Yarrowia lipolytica: one gene and its partners. The protein of the gene in region 1 binds, or shares a complex with, the protein of each later gene. Links are inferred from orthologs where the notes say so. Each region holds a gene or a part of one and is shown in the gene's direction. Other genes may lie near its edges.

What was found.
Region 2: the proteins of YALI1_C29983g (region 1) and YALI1_D13226g are in contact, whole or in part, in a cryo-EM structure (PDB 7TI8), measured with the Saccharomyces cerevisiae proteins. The link is inferred for Yarrowia lipolytica from reciprocal best matches to the Saccharomyces cerevisiae genes RFC5 and POL30. Residues at the interface, in NP_009644.3 of Saccharomyces cerevisiae: Arg67, Lys69, Asp71, Val72, Arg73, Ser89, Ser90, Pro91, Glu115, Ala117, Gln118, Met119, Glu120, Val122, Asp123, Phe124, Asp129, Gly130, Leu131, Lys136, Asn164; in NP_009645.1 of Saccharomyces cerevisiae: Asp42, Ser43, Arg44, Val45, Asp124, Leu126, Glu129, Leu131, Tyr211, Glu232, Ala233, Pro234, Ala251, Pro252, Lys253, Phe254.
Region 3: the proteins of YALI1_C29983g (region 1) and YALI1_B22020g are in contact, whole or in part, in a cryo-EM structure (PDB 7TI8), measured with the Saccharomyces cerevisiae proteins. The link is inferred for Yarrowia lipolytica from reciprocal best matches to the Saccharomyces cerevisiae genes RFC5 and RFC1. Residues at the interface, in NP_009644.3 of Saccharomyces cerevisiae: Trp4, Val5, Asp6, Lys7, Arg9, Lys50, Met54, Leu68, Ile70, Leu85, Asn86, Val88, Glu95, Thr97, Asp100, Asn141, Glu142, Glu209, Arg231, Val232, Leu235, Glu238, Ser239, Leu242, Asn243, Glu245, Ile255, Pro257, Asp258, Trp259; in NP_014860.1 of Saccharomyces cerevisiae: Leu590, Gln593, Glu594, Tyr596, Leu597, His610, Leu611, Glu612, Val614, Ala615, Ala618, Asn619, Ile621, Ser622, Leu623, Asp625, Ile626, Glu628, Lys629, Trp669, Gln672, Lys675, Ser676, Tyr679, Tyr680, Leu683, Gln684, Tyr688, Arg691, Leu692.
Region 4: YALI1_C29983g (region 1) and YALI1_C26580g share a complex: the UniProt entries of both Saccharomyces cerevisiae proteins name them as parts of the CTF18-RFC complex. The link is inferred for Yarrowia lipolytica from reciprocal best matches to the Saccharomyces cerevisiae genes RFC5 and DCC1.

Annotation. Positions count from the first base shown.
Region 1 is NC_090772.1:2,995,357-3,000,686, reverse strand, and holds YALI1_C29983g (uncharacterized protein), read left to right. Parts: upstream 1-2,339; coding exon 2,340-3,386; downstream 3,387-5,330. Other genes in the region: YALI1_C30007g (uncharacterized protein), read left to right, coding at 1-478; YALI1_C29968g (uncharacterized protein), read right to left, coding at 3,436-3,864; YALI1_C29926g (uncharacterized protein), read right to left, coding at 4,045-5,330. UniProt on the Saccharomyces cerevisiae protein: Component of ATP-dependent clamp loader (RFC and RFC-like) complexes for DNA clamps, such as the POL30/PCNA homotrimer and the checkpoint clamp DDC1:MEC3:RAD17 complex.
Region 2 is NC_090773.1:1,320,399-1,325,865, reverse strand, and holds YALI1_D13226g (uncharacterized protein), read left to right. Parts: upstream 1-3,116; coding exon 3,117-3,158; intron 3,159-3,231; coding exon 3,232-3,984; downstream 3,985-5,467. Other genes in the region: YALI1_D13251g (uncharacterized protein), read right to left, coding at 1-674; YALI1_D13238g (uncharacterized protein), read right to left, coding at 819-1,976. UniProt on the Saccharomyces cerevisiae protein: This protein is an auxiliary protein of DNA polymerase delta and is involved in the control of eukaryotic DNA replication by increasing the polymerase's processibility during elongation of the leading strand. Involved in DNA repair.
Region 3 is NC_090771.1:2,199,171-2,206,466, forward strand, and holds YALI1_B22020g (uncharacterized protein), read left to right. Parts: upstream 1-2,927; coding exon 2,928-2,996; intron 2,997-3,053; coding exon 3,054-5,843; downstream 5,844-7,296. Other genes in the region: YALI1_B22015g (uncharacterized protein), read right to left, coding at 72-2,423; YALI1_B22055g (uncharacterized protein), read right to left, coding at 6,100-6,414; YALI1_B22060g (uncharacterized protein), read left to right, coding at 6,925-7,296. UniProt on the Saccharomyces cerevisiae protein: Component of the ATP-dependent clamp loader RFC complex for the POL30/PCNA homotrimer DNA clamp.
Region 4 is NC_090772.1:2,655,059-2,660,591, reverse strand, and holds YALI1_C26580g (uncharacterized protein), read left to right. Parts: upstream 1-2,513; coding exon 2,514-3,542; downstream 3,543-5,533. Other genes in the region: YALI1_C26616g (uncharacterized protein), read left to right, coding at 1-641; YALI1_C26597g (uncharacterized protein), read left to right, coding at 830-2,035; YALI1_C26566g (uncharacterized protein), read right to left, coding at 3,611-3,815, 3,865-3,941; YALI1_C26544g (uncharacterized protein), read right to left, coding at 4,756-5,533. UniProt on the Saccharomyces cerevisiae protein: Component of the RFC-like complex CTF18-RFC which is required for efficient establishment of chromosome cohesion during S-phase and may load or unload POL30/PCNA.

The DNA of each region.
Region 1 (5,330 bases):
GGTGCAAGGCGCAACAGGTAGTCAACGTACTGTACTCTTACTGTACTCGTACCACACTGACACTTATTATGGCCAGTCGTTGGTGATGGCACCTTCGATTGTCTATCGGAGCCGCATAAATCTCCGTCCATCACCACACTGTACAGCTCACCCAGGTACAACTGTTTCAGCAACCAGGAACCCCCTGTTGATCGACGGCCGATGCGTGGATCCTGTCGGGAACACAACCCACAATGAACATCAACACAATGGCGTGCATCACATGATGGCACACACCCCCGATAGACACCAGCGGTGCTTGTTCCTTAGCCCGTCCGCAGCCCAGGCTACTTGTACATTCTGGATACTCCTTACTGTACCTCCTGTCAGGCACCAAACAGGCCTACAGTCAACCTCGAGGATGGAGAGAATCCACACTGCCCATCTGAAACAATCTATGGCTGAGGCTCTAACACCTCCCACAATCAAGACTGTTTAGATCGACAGGGTTCACAAGCCCTCGTCCAGGGTTATAATACCTGAAATACCTCATGTGTTTTGGCTCCTGGGTTGGAACTAAAAACCGGCGCTAACGCAGCCAAGCGGGTGTAATTTACCCCAGACGGCCGACTAATCCAGTCTAGTGACGTCACACACTAATTTCCCAACACGACAGCAATAGACGCTCACTAAAGGGCCGTTTCACCTTGCTAACGTGGTTCTGGATCCTCGTGTAGCGGGGTATCAGAAGAAGGGTCATCACTTGTTGGTCCCTTGTGTGCCAGATGCACTCATGCACAAAATTAGACGAGCATGATACAACCGCCAAAGTACACAACTGGATCAAGACTTGCACCCACCCACTATTATTTCACCGAGGTCTCTCTATCGCCAAAAGTGCAGTAATCTTTGCGCCCATAGAATTATTTCCTCCGATAATTTCCCCTAATAATTTCCCCAAACGCCAATAATTTTGCAAACCATCGACCCTCCCGAGCAATAGATCTGAGACACAAGCCACCTGACGGATCGTGAAGCTGACCAATATTTACGAGTACGATGCACAAGTACGGGTAAAAGAAGGAGAACAGGTCGTGCATCATCATCTGAGCACCCCCTGGCTGACCGTATCCTGCTGAGTCTGGCACATACACAACTCCTTGCTGGGCTTGGTAGAGCTTGCTGAGCCTTGTGGAGTCTGCTGCGGAGTGCTGAGCCTTGCTGGGCGTGTAACCAAGCCATTACCCCTTGCTGAACATCTGTAGCTAAGCCTTGTACTATGATACGAGTCTATTGACAGGGCTTTTACTTCAAGGCTTACTTCTTGGGCTCGAAAAGCCACTTGGAACTGCTTGAAACGCGATGGCTCACCTTTCGGACGCAAATATCAGCCTCCTTCAGCTTGGACAAGAGACGTTGACGGTTGGCTATGAATGGTATGACCATGGGCTAACGGTATCCAGGAAGCATCAGGGAAGACAAGGGCGTGGGGACAAGGTAATCAGGAGTGTACCACGTGATTAACCCGAATAATTGTTGATTATTGCCCTCATTGCTACAAATATTGTCTCTCCTTCATCTCTTCACCTCATCTCTTCACCTCATTCGTTCACTTGATACAGTTTCTGAAATACGACAACCTAAACTCAGCCTTGCATGGAATGCTGAGATGCAGGACAAGCAAGAGAAATGTACGTGAAAATGACAGCAAGCACCACAGACGTGGTGGGGGTCGGAAACGCAAAAAAACAAGACACTCCGATACCGGGAATCGAACCCGGGTTCTCCGCGTGAAAGGCGGAAGTGATAACCCCTACACTATATCGGACAGATTGTGAAAATTGGGTTTTCTCGACCCACAAGAGCGTGGAAAATCCCGTTCTGAATTTTACGCGGGAGGATAATTACTCGGAGGAAAAAATGGGGTTAGAATAAAACGACACGGAGATGGATGACAATGATGTGTGTTAATGATGTGAACTAAAGCGGAATTGAGTGGAATTGAGTGGAAATCAAACTCTCCTCTCTATAGTAAATGCCCTTTCGGTGGGCTCTTCACTTTAGTTAGACTTGGTTGACTCAAGCACAAGTTATTGTTAAGCTTTTACCCAGTAGTGTGTATTTTCCTAAAATCCGTACAACTGCAATCAAATCTGACTGGTTTTTTTTTCTAAATATTCATCAACCCATTCACACTCCTTCTACGACATCTTATATTGGTATATTTCCCCGAATACCGACTTCTCAACACCCTTGTATCCTCCATCAATCTCTACAACTGGCAAACTCTAAACGCCAAATCACTTTTACACGCGTCTCTACATGTCCCATTTTCTCCATCACCACATCAACCCCAAAACATGTCTCTCTGGGTAGATAAACACCGTCCCAAGTCCCTCGATCACGTGGATTACCACCAGGACATCTCCGAGCGGTTTTCCGCGCTTGCCGCGACAGGCGATCTGCCTCATCTTCTCGTCTACGGACCGTCGGGAGCAGGCAAGAAGACCCGAGTCATGGGACTGCTCAAAAAGCTCTACGGCCCCAGCGTGGAGAAAATCAGCACCAAGTCCCACAAGTTCGTGACGCCGTCGAAGCGAGAACTCGAGCTCGGCGTCATTTGCTCGGCTTACCATCTTGAAGTGACGCCGTCCGACATGGGCAACAATGACCGTCTTGTGATCCAGCAATTGCTCAAGGAAACTGCTGAAACTCAGCAGGTCGACCTCAATGCCAAACAACGGTTCAAGGTGGTGATCATCAACGAGGCCGACTCGCTGTCTCGTGACGCCCAGGCTGCCCTCAGACGAACCATGGAAAAATACACAAAGAATATCCGACTGATTCTGCTCACTAACTCCACCTCCAATATCATTGCACCCATCAGGTCGCGAACCCTGCTGGTGCGAGTCGCTGCACCTACCGAGCAGGACATTGTCAACGTACTGGAAAAAGTGGCTGCCAAGGAACATGTGGATCTTGAGAACACCAAAACCCTGGAAAAGATTGCTTCGCATAGCGACCGGAACCTGCGGAAGGCTCTATTGACTCTGGAGACTCTGTACACCTTTGCAGGCTCCAAAACGGTGTCGGAAAACACTCCAATTCCTACTCCTGACTGGGAAATGGTCATTGGCCGTATTGCCCGAGAACTCGTGTCATCTCGAACCCCAGCCACTCTGTTGGCCATCAGATCGCTCTTTTATGAGCTGCTCTCCCATTGCATTCCTCCCTCGACGATTCTCAAGGAGCTCACCTACAGACTGATTCCGGTGGTGCCTGCCAATCTGAGGGTGCCGTTGATTTCTGCCGCAGCCACCTACGAGCATCGGTTGAAGCTGGGTGCGAAGTATATCTTTCATCTGGAGGCGTTTTGCGCAAAGGTGATGGTCTTGTTGGAGGAGTAACCAGTGAAGTGAGTGCAAGTACATGCAAAACAAAAGACACTGGCCAGTGCTATTGCAGTGAAGGAAGGACTAAGGATATATATAGATAATGAAGCATTGATTGAAAGTAGGCGTTGGTCTGATGCAGTGAACAGCATGCAGATATCCTTTGCCCTGCTACTTCAAGTACAGTAGTCCATTCAACGGGTCCATCATCGCCTGTGGCGCCAATGACGCGTTCAACATCGCAGTTTCGTCCCAGAACTGGTTCAGAAAGTGTTCGGAAGCTGAGAAAAGGGAAGCTGAGAAAAGGGATATCCTCGCAGACCCTACCACTCGGAATGGGAGAAACAGAAGGTGTCTGTTTCCTCGCCCAGGATATTGCTAAGCAATTATGAATAGCGAGCTCGTGAGGAAGGGCCATTATCGCAGAAGAAGCCCCTCGTGTCACCAATGAGGGTTGGCGCCGTGCTTCTAGATTCTTTGTACTTGGTGACATCCACGGACTAGAGTCAAGACGCGAGCTACTGGTAGGACAGACGCTGATACTGGCACAACTACAGAAACACTTTGGCGCTTCACCCAGGGTTCGACTGTGGTACAGAAGGCACACACGGCAACCAGCGCAGTTATAAATAAATATATTACAATACAAATAAATAAGTTCTCCATCGTTGCATCACCACTCCAGCCCCTCAGTCCACTCCACTAGCCTCTCACTTGCATCTTCCGCCTTACTCACTGCCTTGACCCGTGAGTAGTAAATAGGACAGTCCTGAGACTCGCACCTAGTCTCAAAGTCGCCTGAGCACTGCGCGCAGATTGTGTTGAGCTCATCCAGCCGCTTCTCCCTGTACCTCAGATCGGAGTTAAGCACGAATGTTGCATGACCAGGATCACTCTCGCACGTGGCGCAAAGTTTAGACAAGCCAGACGTCTGGGCAGTCTTGCAGACGATGCACGAGTTGGACACAGCGTACGACTTGAGCGTGGTTTGGTTGGTCTTTGCTCGAGAAACAGTCTGGTAAAACTCGTACCGCCGCTTCTTGGGCATCTCCTCGTACCACTTGAGAACAGAAGCACCCACACAGTTAAAGAACCGATCCAGAGGGGGAATCAGAGTCTTGTGAATGTAGTAGTCGGCGTCGAGAATGAGAGAGTTGGCGTTCCTGACTAGTTCTTCAGGAGAAACACATCGGTCAATCAGCCGACTTTTGGGAGGACCAGCAACAACCACATATGGGATACGTTCCTTGTACTGGGGTTCAAAGCGCATGTCGACTGCCATTTTCTCAGCCGAGATCTTCGCACCCGCGGGCAACACTCCCCCTTCCTTGTACTGGCCTAACTTGACTTCCTTGGCAAAACAAAAGTCCTGAATCGAGACCTTACCAGTTAGAATCTTCGTCCACTGCTCGTAGAGGTACGATTTGACCAGAGATAAATCAGCAGTGTCAAACAAGATACGAAGAGCCTTCTCCTCAATCTTCTGGGCAGCAGGGGTGCCGTCTCGTCGCACAGTTTCGATTCCCTTGGCGTCGAAAATGGGATACATCTGCTTCGAGTACTCCCACTTGTAGCCCACGTATCGCTTCTTGGATATGAGCATGCAAGGAAGATAGACCTTTTCAAACTGCAATTTCATGGGTGCTGGATTGGCAGATGTTATGGTATCAGCGATCTCAGTACCAATCTTGAATGCTTCATCCTTGGTACGACCAGGTAGACATACAAACAACGAGTCTGTATCGCCGTAGACGACCTTGGCTGCCCATTTGTCCGATCCATGGATCACGTCAATGCACTTTTCGAGCGTCTCACGTCCACTTTGAACTATTGCGTCAGCGATTTCGGCACAGGGCATACGTCCAGAGAAGGAGGCAGAAGTGTATCCATATGTGACGTTGGCCACGAGCTTCAGAGCAAGCTGTCGGTTATGGTTGAGTCTCTGGAACGACACATTGT
Region 2 (5,467 bases), on another chromosome or scaffold:
TTGCGGTCGTCTTCGATGGAGTCGTCCGTTTCGTACTCGTCGTCGTCGTCCTTGAGTAGAGGGCCCATTCTGGTCTCTAGAAACACAACGTTCTTGTAGACGACAGACTTGCGGCAAATACTGCACTCCCCCACCGAATCAGAGGCCCGAACCCCCGAAGAAAGAGCCTTGAACACGCAGTCCCCGCAGTAGAGATGGCCGCATTCCGTGACACAAAGCCGATCTGGCGGCTCGAGGCAAATCGGACACTTGACCTCGCGCAACTTGCTGTGTTGATCTGGCGGAGGAGCCGACAGATCGAGCCCGTCGTCGTCGTTGCTGTCGTAATCGGAGGCGTCGGAGGCATCCAGATCAATCACATTGTGCGTTTCTTCGTCTCCGGAGTCAATGTACAGTGGCTGGGACGAGTTGTCTGTGTCTGTGTCGTTAATGGTGAGCATGCGCGATTCGGGCGTCGATGCAGAGCTGTGGACAGAAAGCGGTGTCCCGGACATTGCCTGTCGCTGGACTTGCTGCCTGTGTACTGTTTGCAGTTTGGTATGGTGTTTTGTTGGACTAAAAAACGGACTCTGTTTAGGTTTAAGCACTGGGCTTACTTGGTTCGGAGTGTGAGATATTGTTAGGAGGCTAAGGCGGCGGGTAAAGCGGGATGAAAAAAGAATAGTACTACTCATTTGTGAACGATCCAAGCCATCGCCTTAGATCACGTGACTAGAAGTCACTCCGCACTCCTCGTTATGCAAGATAACGTTATCTTACAGCAACACAATGTCAATCAATATACATAATCGTTCATTCATCATATATAACTAACAAATCTAGTTCATCTTGGAGATAATATCGTTAGTGACCTGCTCGGTAGAGGCAGATCCTCCGAGATCGGGAGAAAGCAGCTTGCCCTCAACCAGGTTGGCGTCGACAGCCTTGTAGATCTTGGCGGCCTCCTCAGGGTAGCCAAGGAACTCCAGCATCAGAGCGGTGGATCGGATGGTGGCAATGGGGTTGGAAATACCCTTACCCTCGATGTCGGGGGCAGAGCCGTGGCAGGGCTCACCAATGACAAAGTCGTCGCCAACGTTGGCAGAGGGGACAACACCCAGAGAGCCGACGAGGGCAGCGGCTCCGTCGGACAGAATGTCTCCGTACAGATTGGGGGCAACCACAACGTCGAAGAACTGAGGCTCTCGGAACAGTCGGTAAACCATGGAATCAACAATCTGCTCGTTGATGATGATGGCATCAGCAGAGACGCCCTCGGCCTTGAGCTCCTTCTCAGCGGAGGCTCGGGCAACCTCTCGGAAGAGACCGTCGGAGGTGGACAGCACGTTAGACTTGTGGGTGATGGTCAGAATGGGCTTCTCGTGGAAGAGCTTACCGCCCTCGAGCTTTCGAACCTGCTCTCGCTGCAGAGCGATCTTGGTGGCGATGGTGGCGATCTTGTCGGTGGCTCGCTCGGTGATTCGCTTGATGGCCTCGGCCACCTTCTGGCCGTCCTGCTCGTAGGCACGCTCCTCCTTGATGTACAGATCCTCAGTGTTCTCTCGCACAATGACGAGATCGACCTTCTTGTCGGTGGCCTGGACGGCCTTGACGGGTCGCACGTTGGCGTACAGACCCATCTTCTTTCGCAGAGCGACAATGGGAGAGGAGTAGCCTGCGACCTTGGTGGTGGGAGAGGAGACAGCACCAAAGAGGGCACCGTCACACTTTCGCAGCTCGTCGACGGTCTCGTCGGGCAGAGCGGTTCCGGTCTGCTTGAAGAGCTCGAAGCCGGCCTTGAGGTCAACAAACTCGAACTTGAGCTTGTTGGACGGCAGGTTCTCGAGAATCTTTCGGCCAGCGGGGATGACCTCTCGGCCAATACCGTCTCCGGGGATAAGACCTGGGTTAGTATAGGTAAAGAATGGCTGAAGCTCTGGAACGAAAAAAAAAAACCACTTTTCCGTTGCCGAATCGAGCAAAATCTGGGGTGGCATCGGCCATGCCAGGGTATGAGTCACACTAATGCTTGTATGATCCTTCCGTGTCGCTTGATTGTGCTACTCACCAATCTTGAGAGTCTTGGCTCCGGTGGAGTACATTCGGGTCTGGAGTCGCATGGCTCGGTTGGCAAACATTTTGTCGAAGAGAATGGAATGACAGTGTCGAAGAAAGAAGGTGTGCGACGGTGGGTTTTGGTCAATCAGTCAGTCATCATAGAGTTTGCTAATGCACAGGCTGCAGCTCAGATCCGAGTCGGCCTCTAGTGCAGTTCCTGACTCTGCAGAGAGCAGCTGCAAGTTCAATTCTCGCTAAAACCAACCAATTGTCCATATTAATGGCCCCTATATATCAATTCCATCTCTATAACGACCGGATCACCTCCAAAATACCATGTTGCACTGGTCAACGTCAATTCACATGATTTGGAAGAAAGACAGCTATATAGTAGCTCCCAGCGAGCCTATTTCGGAGCATTGAGCGTTGAAAGTGTCACTTGTACCTTAAAGTGTGCGCGGTTCGAGTCTCGGTGTGAAGGAATAAAGCACTGGGAAAACTTCAAGACAAGATTGTAATCATCAACAACTTATCACACAAAAGCACGGTAAAAGTACAGCACATAAGTAGTTGTATTTGCACGGTAATCTGGCCTGATCCATCGTATTAAGCCGAGTAACATTCACGGTATAAGGTCAGTACAATCTCCGTTGTTTCATTGATGCTGTACACCTCCAATCCTCCAATCCTCCAATCGACGTGTTTGACACCGCCAAACTTTAAATAGCTCGTTGGTATTGCCAGGGAGAACGGTTCCGAAGGCAGTCGTATAAATGTGTGAGAAAAGGGTCTACACACCTCCGTTCAAAGTGTCACGTGACCCTGGAGATGTACTGTACCACCATCCGTTTGTCATTGGAGTATTGAAAGTCCAAAAGCCGTCTCTAAATCTGCCCACCAGCCACCCTCGCCCCCTTTATACTTGTCTGCACACCTGTGTTACCCTACCGACGCGTTGTGGTTAATCCCAATTGGGAATAGTGATTTGTCGCGTTTTAGATTAAAACACGTCCCTCTTTCTTTTCCTCCATCTACACCACCACCACAGTAACTCTTCCAACACACACACACATCTAACAATGCTTGAGGCCAAATTGAACGAAGCTGCTCTTCTCAAGAAGGTGAGTAAGACAACCGGCAACGGAACATCAATTTGTGTTTGCATACCCCTATTCCTTGTCTTTACTAACCCAGATCATCGATGCCATTAAGGACTCCGTGACTGATGTCAACTTTGAGTGTTCCGAGACTGGAATCGACGTACAGGCCGTCGACTCTTCACACATTGCCCTGGTGTCTCTGAAGCTCGGATCCGACGGCTTCTCTGACTACCGATGTGACCGAAACATCACACTCGGAATCAAGGTGGCTTCGCTTGTCAAGATTCTGCGATGCGCTAACGACCGTGACGCCCTGACCCTTATGGCTGACGACAACGGCGACCAGCTGCGGCTCACCTTTGAGGACTCCAAGTCCGAGCGAGTGTCTGAGTTTGTGCTCAAGCTCATGACGATCGACCAGGAGCATCTCGGAATCCCTGACACCAAGTACGAGTCGGACATCACCATGCCCGTGGACGCGTTCCAGAAAATCATGCGGGATATGTTCATGCTGTCCGAGTCTGTCAAGATTTCGTGCGACAAGGAGGGCGTCAAGTTCAGCTGCAAGGGCGACGTGGGAGACGGATCCGTGCTCATCAAGCCCTCTTCCTCGGTCGACGACGAGGGATCTACCACCATCGCTGTCGAGACCCCTGTGTCCATGGAGCTCAACCTCAAGTACCTCAACAACTTCTGCAAGGCGTCGGGCCTGGCCCAGAACGTGCATCTGGGCATGTCTTCCGAGGTGCCCATCATGGTCGAGTACCTGCTCCCCAACGGCTACCTGAGATTCTACCTCGCTCCCAAGATTGGCGACGAGGACGAGGAGGACGAGGATGATGACTAATGGACACGACAGTAGAATAGGCTAGTATAGGCGCATTAATTATAGGAAAGATTATAGAACACGAGTGACTACAGTAGTACATTTGTAGTGAGCACATCGGGAGCACAGTTGGAGAGAATGGCCTTCCTTTTACTACAGGAATTGTAGTAGCACTGGAAGTACCTGATCCGGTTTGAACAGTATGGTAATGTGCACACTGTACAGTAAGTAGATGAACGGCAGTATACTGGTAACAAGACCAAACAGTTGATAAGTCTACAAGTACAAGTACAGTAGTACAGTATGTACTGGTGCAGTAGACAAACCGACCTCTGATGTAACGCCATTCTAGTTTCAGATCAATATGTTTATGTGGAAAGTGGCTGTAAATGGGTCGTGATGGAAAGCGCAGTGTACATCATACTACATGAAGATACCGTTGTAGCTGCTGTGGAACAGTGTCAACCACGTTCCAGAGTGACAGAATGTTTTACTGGTAGATAAGCAGGTGACCAAGGACTGGTACATCTCCCTCTGCTTACTAACCATATCCTTCTCAAGTCCATCCGCTACAGTCTCACTTGTGAGACATCTTCGGGAGTCTTTAACTTAACAAGCATGTACAAGTGCTATTCTGGTACGGACAGCATGGTGCCAACCTGATAGGACGACACGCCGAGCTGCTGAGATTCTGCACCTCTTCTGTGGTTGTCTTTGTGGGTTGTACAAGCACTCGTTAGTTCTCTACTAATGACCCTGGGCACAGGTGCACGATACATGTGGGTTTTGATGCTACTTGTATACATATTACAAGTGTTGGTAGGTGGTCGTGCAGTATCTTACCATGGCGATATTTGTAGGGTTCAATGTCTGATGGCTCGTCTGCCACCACCAATTTCTTCGTTCTATTCTAGAGTTGTTTTCAGGGCCTCCGGCTAGCTCCAATCTCGTGCAGTATGTTACTCGTACTGGTGAGTTAATAGGGCGGTATTGTAAAAGAAGAGCCCAACTAGACGCGTCCACAATAGGCCTTGAGCATGAGTCTATAGGGTTGTTAGCGTATGGCCATGTCTAGTTCCATGGCGTTAGCGTGCTTTGTGTGGAGGAGGCCACGTAGCGTGTACTTGGGAGGGTTGCCGACATCTTCGTCTTCTTTTTCGTGTCATTTTCTCCTCCACACACCCATCCTTTGGCTGCTACGTACACACGGTCTATGTTCCTCCACCTCAATGTTATTATGTGGAAACCTACGGGTCCATAAGTCTTCCCCACTGATCACCACTCGTATCTTTACCAGGCGAACTTTCTCAGGCCTGAACCAACTAACCGGGTCTCACAGGTGCGGCTTTTTAGACGACCCGGTGCGAGTGTGGAAGGAAAAAAAAATGCAGTCACATTGCGGACCACGACGATGACGTGTTCTGTTACACAGACGCCGTCACCCAACGCATAGACTACAAGTACGTTCTTGTGGCACCACTTGCTCGTCTCTTGTTACACTCTA
Region 3 (7,296 bases), on another chromosome or scaffold:
CATCGAGACAATACACATTACTGCGGACTGCATATCTATACAATAAATTCAACTATATACCATCCTTTTCTTCACTTTCGCTTACCCTTTCCCTTGGGCTTACCTCGCTTAGAGGCCTCCTTTCGATCGGTCTTGGTCTTCTTGTACATTCGGACCTCCTCGTTGTCTTTCTTCTTCTTCATCTTGTCCTTGTTGCTGGCTAGTAGATTTCGTTTGTCCGAGGTCTCATCAGCCTTCTTCTCTTGGGCATTCTGGAACCAAGTTCGCCGAGGTCGGGATGCAATCTCCTTCTCGTACTTGAGAAGGTTCTCTCCCTTTCGCACCTCCATCTCGGCCTGCAGCATGGCCTTCTCCTCCTTCTCCTCAGCCAGAATCTCGTTGACAATGTCACCCTTCTCCTCGATCTTGGAGTATAGCTTCTCGACCTCAGGCCAGTCCACGTTTCGGCCCACGGCCTTGCCCTGTTTACTCTCAGATACAGACTTGATAGCCTCGCGGACAATGGCTCTGTCAGCAGCAGCCTCCCCGACCAGAGTGATGGATCGACCTTCTCGTCCTGCTCGAGCAGTTCGTCCAACTCGATGCAGGTAGACAGCATGGGTCTGGGGCATGTCGTAGTTGACGACACACTCGATCTTGGGGATATCCAGACCTCGGGAAGCCAGATCGGTACAGACCAGAATGGGCACCTCCAGTTTTTTGAATGCTGTGATGGACTGCAGACGCTGCTCCTGAGACAGAGCTCCGTGCAGTTCTCCAATTCGGACTCCGAGCAGACCCAGCATGATTCGAAGACGATGCGCAGTCTCTTTTCGGGCCACGAAAATAATGGTTCGCTGCTCCTTGTCCATCTTCTTGAGGATGGAGGCCAGCAGAGCGGGCTTGAGATGGTCTCGCTTACGGATTCGAACAAACTCTTGCACCAGACCAGAAGCGGCCTGCTTGGGAGGGTTGATCATGACTCGAACGGGCCGAGAAAGAGACAGCTGAATAAGCGACGAAATGGACGAATTCATAGTGGCAGAGAAAAGCAGAGTCTGACGCTTCTTGGGAAGCAGTGTCAGAATCTCGGTCAGTTCCTGTTGGAAACCCTCCTCCAGCATTCGATCAGCCTCATCAATCACCAGAATCTCGACATCGTCAACGTTGAACGAGGGAGAGTTTCGAACATGATCAATAAATCGACCGGGGGTAGCAATGACAACCTCGGGTCGCGTCTTGAGCTCCTGCTCCTGAACTCGAAGGTTCAGACCACCGACAGCCAGACCGAATCGCACGCCAGAAACATACTGTGCGAGCTTCTTACCAACATCGGCGACCTGAATGGACAGCTCTCGAGTGGGAGTCAGAACCACAACCTTAGTGGCTGCGACCTTGGAGGACTTGTAGAGAAGACGCTCCAAAACAGGAATGATGTACGCAGCAGTCTTACCAGAACCAGTGACGGCACCAGCAACCAGATCCTTGCCCATGAGAGCAATGGGGATGGTTCTGCTCTGAATCGGAGTGGGGGCCTGGTATCCCAGAGCAGAAATACCCTTCATGACGGGTCTAGACAGATTCAGAGTCTGAAAGGTTTTGTGCACAGACTCAGTCTTATCGTTGTTCTCCTCCTCGGGAGCGTAGAATGCAGCCATCTCCTCGGCAGTGTCCTGGGGTCCCTCGTCGATGGCAGGGCCTTTATGGTCATCCAAAACCAAATCATCGGGGTGCATACACTCCTCAGCCTCGGAGTCGCTTCCATCAGAGTCCTCCTCCTCTTCATTCTCAACCTCTTCTTTGTTCTCCTCGTCCTCGTCCTCAGGCTCATCCATGTCCTTTCCGGGCTGGACTCCTCCTCCGAAACCATCAATGGCCAGATCATCTTCGTTCTCCTCCATCTTAACGTCTGTCTCGGCCTCGTCCTCGTCCTCGTCCTCGTCCAGAAGGCCTCCTTTTCTCTTGATAATGCTGTCCAAATCAACTTCTCGCTTCTGGACCTTGTTGTCGTCCTTGGACACCTCAAAGTTCCAGCCGTCCAGACCTTCAGAGGTGGCAGCAAATCCGTCCAGCGAAAACTGGAAGTCGGGGTTGATGCCGGCCTTGGCAGCCTGCTTTTCTCGCTCCAGTAGCTCCTCGTCGGCTTCACTGAGTTTTTGCTTCTTCTGCTTCTTTGTCAGCTTGACAGGCTTCTCCTCCACCTCTTCCTTCTCGTCTGCACTCTCCTCCTCCAGATCTTCACCGTCGGAATCTAGAGTCATGACAAAGTCGTCCTTTACTTTGGAAATCATGGCAGCCGATTGTTTGGACTTAGTAGCCTTCTTGACCGGTTTGGTCACTTTTCCCTTGACCATTTTTGTGTGTGTTATTTGCGTGCTGGTTTGAAATAGGGTGGATAATTTATTTCTGCATGGACATATTTTTCCAATAAACTCTGGATGCATTAATGACGCACAGTCATGTGATTGACGTTAGGAGGAGGGTGAGGGAGTGAGTGTTGCAGTAGAAGTACGAGTACATACTGTAGAGGGTTATAACTTGATGAATCTTGGCTGAAGTGTCAATGTGAACAGATTTTATGACCATCAAGCCATTACAATTGATCACTAATAGTCATATAATCCAAATCTGTTCTTTAATCTGTTATTACATTGTTCACCTTACGAAGTCCACCTGCCATCACACGCAGCAAGCCAGCATGTGGGTACAATAATTGCCCACAATACAAGAACAACTCATTTCACGATCATTAAATTGCATAGATAAACTGCTTCAACAACCTCTTACCTGTGATTATTTTTCATCACTTATTGTAGTCACAATATACAGTAACCTCTCTGTTGTAATTACTCCCCTGCCTCTTCTTTCGCCTCTCCCAACCGCAGCACTGCAAAACGCGTCAACACGAAGCTTTCCATTTATCACCACTGGAACGCAGTGCAAAAAAAATGCCTCCCAAAGATATCCGCAGTTTCTTTGGAGCCCAAAAGACCAAGGCGCCGGCCAAGTCCAATGACGTGAGTACCAATTGCACTGCCCATCTGTTTTGATTCACGCAAAAACCACTAACATAGAAACGGCCAGCCACCACGTCTGTGGACGAAGAGAGAAAGCCCAAAAAGGTCAAACAGGAGGTCAAACAGGAGATTAATTCCGAGCCCGAGAAGTCGCCCGTCAAGCCAAAGATTCCCGCAAAGCCCAATCCCACTGCTAAGACCAAGTCTCCTGCCAAACCTGCTCCCAAAAAGCGGACAATCCAGATTGACGATTCTGACAGCGAAGATGGAGAGGCCCCTTATGAGATAGATATGGACAGCGACGACGGGTTTGTGGACGACGATGATTTGCCCGTGAAACCTGTGCAGCGACGAACACGACGATCGGGGCCAGTCAAGGATGACGATGTGATTGAGATTGATGAGGACGACAATGTGGTCAAGAAGCCACCTCCCAAGGCAAGCGTATCAAATAAGGGCCCAATCATTGACTATGACGATCTCGATGACGACGATCTCGAGCAAATCAAGCGTGCTCCTAAAAAGGCTGCCCCCAAGCCCAAGGCTGCTCCAACGGCCGCCCCCAATGCTCGATCCGCACCTGGAGGGGCTACAGCAGAGTCTGTACTAGCGCAATTACCCGACGCCGAGCTTCCCGAGGTCGAGGAGGGGAAGAAGTTCAACTTCCGAGAGCATCTGGCCAAGAACACGGCCACTGGAAGTGGAGAAGGAGGAGGAGCAGTGGAGCTTCCTGAGGCGGCCGAAAACTGTCTGGTGGGCCTCACGTTCGTTTTCACTGGCACCATGCCCAACTTGTCGCGAGAAGAGGGTCAGGCCGCAGTCAAAAAGTACGGAGGTAAGGTCACTTCTTCCATTTCTGGTAAGACCAACTGTGTTGTTCTGGGAGAAGATGCCGGACCCAAGAAGATTGAGCAGATCAAGAAGCTCAGAACCAAGGCTCTGGATGAAGCTGGTTTCTTGGAACTGCTCAGACTCATGCCTGCTGACGGTGGAGGGGGTGCTGCTGCTGAAAAGGCGCTAGCTAAGCAGGCAGAAGAGGCCGACAAGATTGCTGCTGAGAGCGCAAAGATGGCTGCTGAGATGGCGGCGCGAGAAAAGAAGGAGAAAGCTGCATCCAAGAAGGCGGACGCTTCTGGAGCCCCTCGGGCTGTGTCTATGGATGACCAGCTGTGGACAGTCAAATACGCCCCCAACAACCTGAATCACGTTTGCGGAAACAAGGGAGCGGTGACCAAGCTACAAAACTGGCTCAACAACTGGCACGACAATGCCAAACATGGATTCAAGCAGCCTGGAAAAGATGGATTTGGCATTTATCGTGCTGTTCTGCTGTCTGGTCCCCCTGGAATCGGTAAGACTACTGCTGCGCATCTGGTGGCCAACCTTGCAGGCTATGATGTGATTGAGAACAACGCCTCGGATGTGCGATCTAAAAAGTTGCTTGCTCAGGACGTTTCTTCAGCTCTCACAAACACCTCCATCATGGGTTTCATGAGCTCAGCGAAGTCTTCCAAAGAGAAGAAGATCTGTATGATCATGGACGAGGTCGATGGTATGTCTGCTGGTGATCGAGGAGGTGTGGGCCAGATGGCTGCCCTGTGTCGAACTACTGAGGTGCCAATCATCCTCATCTGTAACGACAAGGGTCTTCCTAAGATGCGTCCATTTGACAGAGTGACTCTGGACATTCCTTTCCGACGAATGGACCCCAAGGCTATCCTAGCACGAATGATGACCATCTGTCATCAGGAGAAGATCAAAATTTCAGCTCCTGTTTTGGAGCAGGTCATTGCTGGCTGCAACTCAGATATTCGTCAGATCATCAACTTGCTGTCGACTTATGCTCGAAACCAGAATGAGGGTGGTCTTGATATTGAGTCTGGTAAGAAGATGACCCAGTCATGGGAGAAGAATGTGGTTCTGAGTCCCTTTGATATCACTGGAAAGCTGCTTTCCGGAGGCCTATGGGCTCCTTCCTCCAAGGCCACTCTCAATGACAAGATTGAGCTTTATTTCAACGATCACGACTTTGTTCCTCTCATGATCCAGGAAAACTATCTCAACGTGCAGCCTAGTGGAGGAGGCGACAACAAGGAGCGTTTGAGGAAGACGTTGGCTGCTGCTGAGTCCATATCTGATGGTGATCTTGTTGATAAGATGATTCATGGCTCCCAGCAGCACTGGTCTCTGATGCCTTTGCATGGGTTCCTGAGTGCGGTTAGGCCTGCTTCTTTCGTTGCCGGCCAGGCCCGAGGACGATTCAACTTCACGTCCTGGCTGGGTCAGAACTCCAAGGGAGGAAAGCATCTTCGAGCTCTCCAGGAGCTTCAGAGTCATGCTGGATACAAGACTTCGGGCAACTCTCGAGAGCTGAGACAGCAGTACTTGCCTTTGATGACTCGAAAGCTTCTTGACCCACTTTTGGCTAAGAAGGCAGAGGGAGTTCCTGAGGTGATCGATTTCATGGACTCGTATTATCTCACCCGAGAGGATTGGGATGCTATCATGGAGATGGGTGTTGGTCCTGACAGTGGAGAAGAGCGTATGAAGAAGCTCGAGACTCAGACCAAATCTGCCTTCACTCGAAAATATAACACTTCGTCGCATCCCGTGCCCTACATAAAGTCTGGAACTGCCATGGACATGAAGGCGTCTAAGGCCCAACCTGATTCGGGAGACGTGGTTAATGAGGAGGTGGAGAAGGAAGAGGAAGAGGATGAAGAAGACATTTCGAAGGACAAGTACATCAATCAGCCCAAAAAGAAGGCTGCTCCTAAGAAGGCTGCTCCCAAGAAGACACCTGCCAAGAAAGCTGCCCCCAAGAAGGCTGCTGCTAAGAAAAAATAGCCTGTCCTGTTACTACTGTGTATGTATTTAGACGCAATTGATTTATATGAAATACATCCTAATGAAATTTTTGAGCGTATTCTATTGTCGTTATTCGTTAATCATTAATCGTGTTGTGGTGTCATAACTTGTAGGGGGTATGCTGTCTGATATTCGCTGCAGTACTCAAAATCAGAGACAGATTCTGGCAATATGAAAGATGGCGTGTCAAAAGACATGTCAAAAGGTCCGTAATCGCGTCTTGGTGTCGTAGCGATTAACTCCTCTCTTGTTGCATTCGCCTCACTTTAACCTCCAGCTCCTTGGACCACTCGTCCACCTCTCCAACTAGCTTCTCCAGAGTATCGAGGTGGCCACGGACCTGTTTGAGCTGGTCCACGTACCTTGCGTTCTCGTTGTTCAGACCTTCGAGGTACTCTCTATCGTTTTCGAGGCCCTTGGTCGACTCGGCAAGTTGCTTGTACTTGTGTGTCTGTTTGCGATTCACCACCTCCAGCGAGTCTAGCCACGTGACTGTGTAGTCTGTCTGGGCGTCGATCAGGTTTTCCGCAGCCTTGACGGTTTTCTCCATGGTGAATCACTGGGTCAACATGCCTGTGGTGGTGAGCTTACCCATATGCATGCTGTTAATTAAGTTGGTGCTGTTTGGAATTGTCGAGGGTGAATATGTCACGTAAGAAAACAGGATGATATTAGTGAAGCCACCGCTGGTTAACGATTCAGATCCCATAAACATAGCTAGACATTAATTCTTCTCTCTTCAAAACCGTTACAACAGGTATTGTACCAGTTTCAAAGCCAGGTTAGGGTTGGGAGCTGGAGAGGATGTCTATCTCTTTGATGTTGTGGGTTTGCTTGTACAAGTACTGCGTTGAGCCAACTACTGTAAGTCAGCCTGTGCCTCATCCTATTAGAAATAGTCGCATTCCACGTCATTCTTATCATTTCAAACACCCAGACCAAACTTGCAAGCAGCCCTACAGTATTTCAAAATGTACTGTACAGTATAGAGTTCAATCATCTTACACGGAAATTCAATTTCATTTCACGAGTAATTCCGACACCACACACATCACACACTATGGGAATGTTCTGGAACAGGAATCCCAAGGAGGAGCCTGCCACGGCTGCCGTTCAGGAGCAGGTGTCGACTTCCGCGCCTGCCGAAGCAGCTGCTGCTCAGGCAAAGGCCAAATCAGACGACGATGACTACGAGGCCATGTTTGGAGTCAAAGCCTCGGAGCTGCTGGGTGTCTATAAGCCAAAGCCCAAGAAGGTGTCTTCTGAGGAGCAGAGCTCTAAAAAGACCGAAAAAGATCCGTTAGAGGTGCCGACTTTGCCGGAGGGACCCAGGAACATGCGTGTCTATTTCCCCGAGGAAATGTCGTGTTGGGAGGCGTTCAACGAGGTGGTGGCATGTTACTCTGTGGGCGGCCAGGTGCGAAACTTGTAC
Region 4 (5,533 bases), about 340 kb from region 1:
GTGTGCCTGCTGTGGCTATTCCCAACGTTCCTGTTCCTCCAACTGCTCCTGTTGACGACACATATACGTCTGAGGAGGATACGTGTTCGGAGCGTGAGCTGCCTCGAGGAGAAAACAATCCTGAACACTACCTGGGAGATTGTGTAGATGATGAGAATGTTGAGGGGTGCGCTAGCCCCAACTGTGCGTGTGGAGGACGACAGGTGATCTACCCCGTTGGACTGCCTCCGGAGGACGGATATGGTGATCATGCCCATGAAGAGGAAGGCGATGGCGACAGTGACGAAGATGATGAGGATGGCTGGGAAGAAGACGAGGACGAGTATGGTGAGGATGAAGAGTATGGTGTGGATGAGTATGGCAATTATGATGACGGAAATGAATACGATGACGATGTATATGAGGATGAATTGGGACGAGTGTTTGTGGGAGGTCTTGAAGTTGAAGACTTTATGAACCCCATGAACTACATTGATCCAGACAGTGGGGGCGGTGGGCCGCTGACGTTGAATCGGGAGACTGGTCAGTTTGACTTGAGCCCAGGGGCCTTGGATATCATCAACGAGCTGCGGGCCACGGGAGTGTTGCCTCCGTATGGGTCACCTGGACGACAGCCTGACGGGGCCAATGGAGGGCGATAAGTCATTGGTTGACGCAGGAAGGAAGGCTTCGCCACGCTAGCTACATAATGAAATGCATATATTTATTCGTACACACGACACAGCTATATAAGCACTTGTGCACTGCTGTACTGTCTTTTTGATAGCCCAGTTCGGTATCCAGTGTTTTACAGCCCACTGTCTTAAATTCTCTTTGAGGCTGAACGTATATGCACAGTGAATATCTATATTATTATCTCCTCTTCTTCCCCATTGTCATAGCCATGATACTCCGGTTACCACACGATATTCTGGTGGTAATCTGCGAACTTGTTTCACCAAGAGATCTTTGTGCTCTTCGTGAAACTTGTCAGCAACTCAGCCGCGATATTCCCGGGTCTTTCATCCTCGGATGTCTTCTCTCTGTGTGGGATTGCTGCAATATTGAGTACAGCAGATCGAACGACGATACTTGCCAGGCTCCGCACAAGCTGAACAATTCGCGGGTAGAGTTCTCAGATCAGGTCAAGTGCCCTGTCTACATTGATCAGCCGCTTCCACGCGACTTTTACTGTCTCTGCAAAGAGGTGGACGAGATCTTTCCCTGGGAGTACCACGACAACGGGATTTCTTTCGACGAGAAACTCTTGGATTTGACGGAGCATCCCGAAATGGGCCAAGGGAAGCCCAAGAAAGGACTCACGATGGGACGTTACTACGGAAGCACATATGCGTTTGGAGGAGCACCTGTGATCCAGACAAGACATTCTTCAAAGATGTTGGCTGGTGTGAGTGTTATAAATCTGATCTACTCTGGTATTCCCCAGACGAGAGGAATTGTCAACTTGGATGGACTTTCTCTGCCTTTCAGACTGCAGGTCAACGGAAAAAGTGTTCTTTTGCACGCTCGAGCCTGCGATTATAAGACCTCTGAAGTGATTTGTGTGTCCCCAGGTGGAAAAGTACATACTCAGAGGTGTCGACCCCGGAAAGCTGCTCCTGCTGGTATCGTTCACTACAACGACACCTTCTTCAACATTGATTTTCAAACCCGATACCGACTCCGGGTGTGCAAGTCTCTACATAGCTTGGACTCCGATCCACAACTAAATGAGCCGTACAAGGTGTATCAGGATGAAGAATATTCACAGTTCTGCCTCGTTTACAAGCCCACAGGAATTATAATAGGGCTAATTGACTTGGACAACCAGCAGACAGAAGTCTTTTCCGCACCAGGAACTGGATTTGTGGCCAGAAACTACAGCTCGATATCGTGTGAAGAATACCTCGTCATGGTTGGAATGTCCAAGGGCTCTCTTGGGATCTGGAAGTTTTCCATTAACCATCTCCGCAAGAGGTTCAGATTTCAACATGGAGATGGATTCGCTAACGCTTTGTCGCTAGCAGTCTCTCCCCTTGCCTCCAAGCCGAGATGACAGTGGTCTGATACTTCTTGAAATGTTGCTACAGTATGTAACTAATCGACACCATCCCGAGGCGGATAGTGGTCTTCAAAGGTGGGACTGGGTAGATATCACATGATCGGAGCTGGTTATCGGTTTGTGGAGGGGTATCCGAGTATGGATACAGAGAGAGGTACAATCGTCTATACAGAACAAGTACAATCATCTATACATACATGTGCTGTATATGTATTGTCGATCCCACTTATCTCACTCGAGCCAACGCAATGGGCTTATTGTCTTGATCGCTAAAGAATATTTGGTATACCATCTGGCTATATTGGATATTACTCGATTTTTGTTCCCATGTTTGAATATAAATAAATCGTCGCTATCCATTTTATCCGATTTTACTGTCTCTTTTACACTGTCCAGCTCCCTCCATCCACCTTTCTCATGCACGACGCGTCTAAATTAATTGAAACGTGTGCATCTCTTCAACACCACCATCATGAAGCTCAATTTTTACGAAGAGTACGACAAGCGACACATTTATCGGCTGATCGAGCTGCCCGAGCAGATTATCGGCGAGCTACGGGAGGAAGAGGAGGAGTACAAAAAAACCAAGGAACTGCAACATTACTCACTGACTCTGAGAGGCAAGGATCGGCTCGTTCTGTGCAACAAAAACACGACGTGGAACGTCAAGCAACGGAGCCAAAGCAACACCCTTCATCTGGTGGAGACACGTGACGATGGTCTCGCCAGCATTTGCATCACCCAGCCCATTTTGGAGTGCACTTTGAGTGAATCGCCTCAGTTGGACACCTCTGATCTGCCCTGTTACGACGGAGACAGTATCATGGGAGACCCGCGCATCGCCAAGCACGATCTGGACTCGTTAAGGAACCGCAGCAGCATGTCTGGAGTGCAATTCGACCAGGTTTGGGCGCAAATTGGAGGAGTGGAAGTCGATGGAGTGGCATGTGTGCTGGCTGATAGTCTGATCAAGGAGACAATAGACGATATTCTGACCTCGCTAGCATCACAGAAGCAGCAGCTTAACCTGGTGAGTGCATCTGACGTGGTGTCTGATACTTCTCCAGCAGTAGTTACGGCAGTGTTGAAGATGTTTGCTACAACGCCCATTGAGCCCTACAATCTCGATCTCGCGCACATCATCAGCTGGATTGGCAAAAACGCCCTTGGCGAGCCGGTGCAGATCGAACAGTTTATGATCATGTGGAAAAACTCGATTCCCATGATCTTTGACGAGGATATGGTCTCCCTGGACCTCATCAAAGGCTCCTATGCTCTTTGTGAGACTATGATTCACAAGCTCAGCGAAAGTGATTTGCCGCGTGACCCCAAGGAGCGGTTTGCTCGACTGTTCCAGATCAAGGACAAGTGGGAACTGGACGAAATCACACCGTTCATTGAACCCATCAAGATGAACAAGAGCACCAAGACGGAGAACTTTGTGCTCAAGTACGCTAAGAAGAGAAAGATCGGCGGCAAGGTGATGGTTTGTCGAGAGTGAAGAAACGACGACAAAGAACACAAAAGGAACAAACACAGTGGGATTATATTGAATTGCAAGTACAGATGTCAATAAGTAACCCCAGTCTGAGAACCCTGTAATTGAGAACTCTGGGACTGGGTACGCTGTCGATTCGAAGGACTGGCATGCGTTGCAACTTTTGCTTCATTTCTTTTTTTGCTGAAAGTCGCAGTCCGTCCCACATGATGGTATACAAACCTCTCCTGGAGGCTCTCCTCTGAATTGGGAACGATTCTAAGAAAATACAATGTGCTTCAGAGCAAACAGTTTGTAGTCATCATTGACGTTTCCGTCCATGAACGAAATGTGGGAACCTCCAGAGTGTCGCTGGTCCTTGTAAGATATGTGCAGCTTTGAAGGAGAAGGGGTCAGTCGCATGGTAGCATTAGACGGAATCTCGCCTACCAAAAGAAGTGAGCCAGTATCCTGGGACGTAGCCCGTCCTCTACGGCCAATTGTGCCGAAATCTTGAGAGAGATTTCGTCCCGATACCCTGAAAGAAACTGGATGATGACTAGTTTTTATACATTGTTCTCACAGTCTCTGGAACTCTTATGCAAGACACACTCATGTGTCATCTACTTCTGTCGGCCACTTCACGGGCGAGGAGAGGGTTGTGGGTGAGAACGGTCTTTCTGAAGTCAACTTCATTGATCAGGGACAGTACCTCCATAGTTGACATACTTGCGTCTTTTTGACGAAGTGCGTCTTTTTGACGAAGGAAGTACAGTCCACATGGTAATATACATGGTTGGAGATGTCGATGGGAGTGGGAGCATGTTGACTGTGTGTTTTGAAGTTCGTCTTTATATAGTAGTTTATCTAGGAGTTTCAATCGATACATACAGAAGAGAGTATACGAAGAGAGGATAGTGTGGAAGGAGGTATTGGAGAGGGAAGGTTGATCTGACATTGTTCATATTTCCTCAATCTGATGACTTTCTGATATTGCCTGTGAACATGTTGTTGACAATTACTTGTAGGTATCAAGAGACGTGGCAATCTGGTGGTGTAAATTGTCTTACCTTTCTTCGTGTGTGCTCGCTAACCGTTCTGAATCATGAGGCAAGTTGAAGTGCAGTACTTCAGCGGCACCAAGTCATCCTCACGAAGAACAACCCGTCTCCTTCCCAATTCATATTCATAATTCATTACTGTTACATTCGTCAGTCATACATCATGCGTGGTTGTCCTAGTCCAACTTGGGCTTATCGAGCACACCAGTCAGACTCTTCTTGGCGGTCTCGTAGACTCCAAGGAAAATGGCTCCTCCGGCAGAGATCCACATGGTTCGAGGACCAATGCCTTTGAGCAGAGCACTGTATCCCTCGGTCTGGACTATCTGCCGGTACGTCTGGAAAAAGGTCTGTCTCTGCTTGTGGAGCATCAGACGGGTTTTGATCACATCCAGAGGAGTGGTCAGAGCAGCAGCAACACCTCCAGAGAAAGATCCACATACGGCAGCCTCCTTGGAAGTGACCACATCTCTTTCGGTGGCCCGAGCCCACTTCTTCTTGAGAAACTCGTACAGAGGAAACTGGATCATGGTGAAGGGGATTTCTCGCACAATGGTGGTAGCGTAGCCTCGGTACAGACCTCGCAGCACTCCCTCGCCGCTAGAGTTATTGAGGATCGACTTGAGGGCCTCCATGGACGACTTGTAGTGACCAGTCTGGGCTCTCTGCTTGATCACCTCTGAGGGCACTCGAACCATACAGGCAGCAACTTCTCCAAGAGAAGCTCCAATCATGTGAGTGACACCTTGTGCCACGTCATCGTTGAGAATGAGAGCACGCACATGGGGAGTAAGATGCGTCTTGGTGTACTCGTAGGTCAGGAAGAAGAGAGAAGCTCCTGGTGCCGAGGCCACGATAGCCGATCCGACTCCTCGGTACACTCCATGCCATCCTCCGTTGACAAAAAAGCCACCCTTGGCCTGCAGACGGGTCTTGAGCGTGTCAATGGGGAAG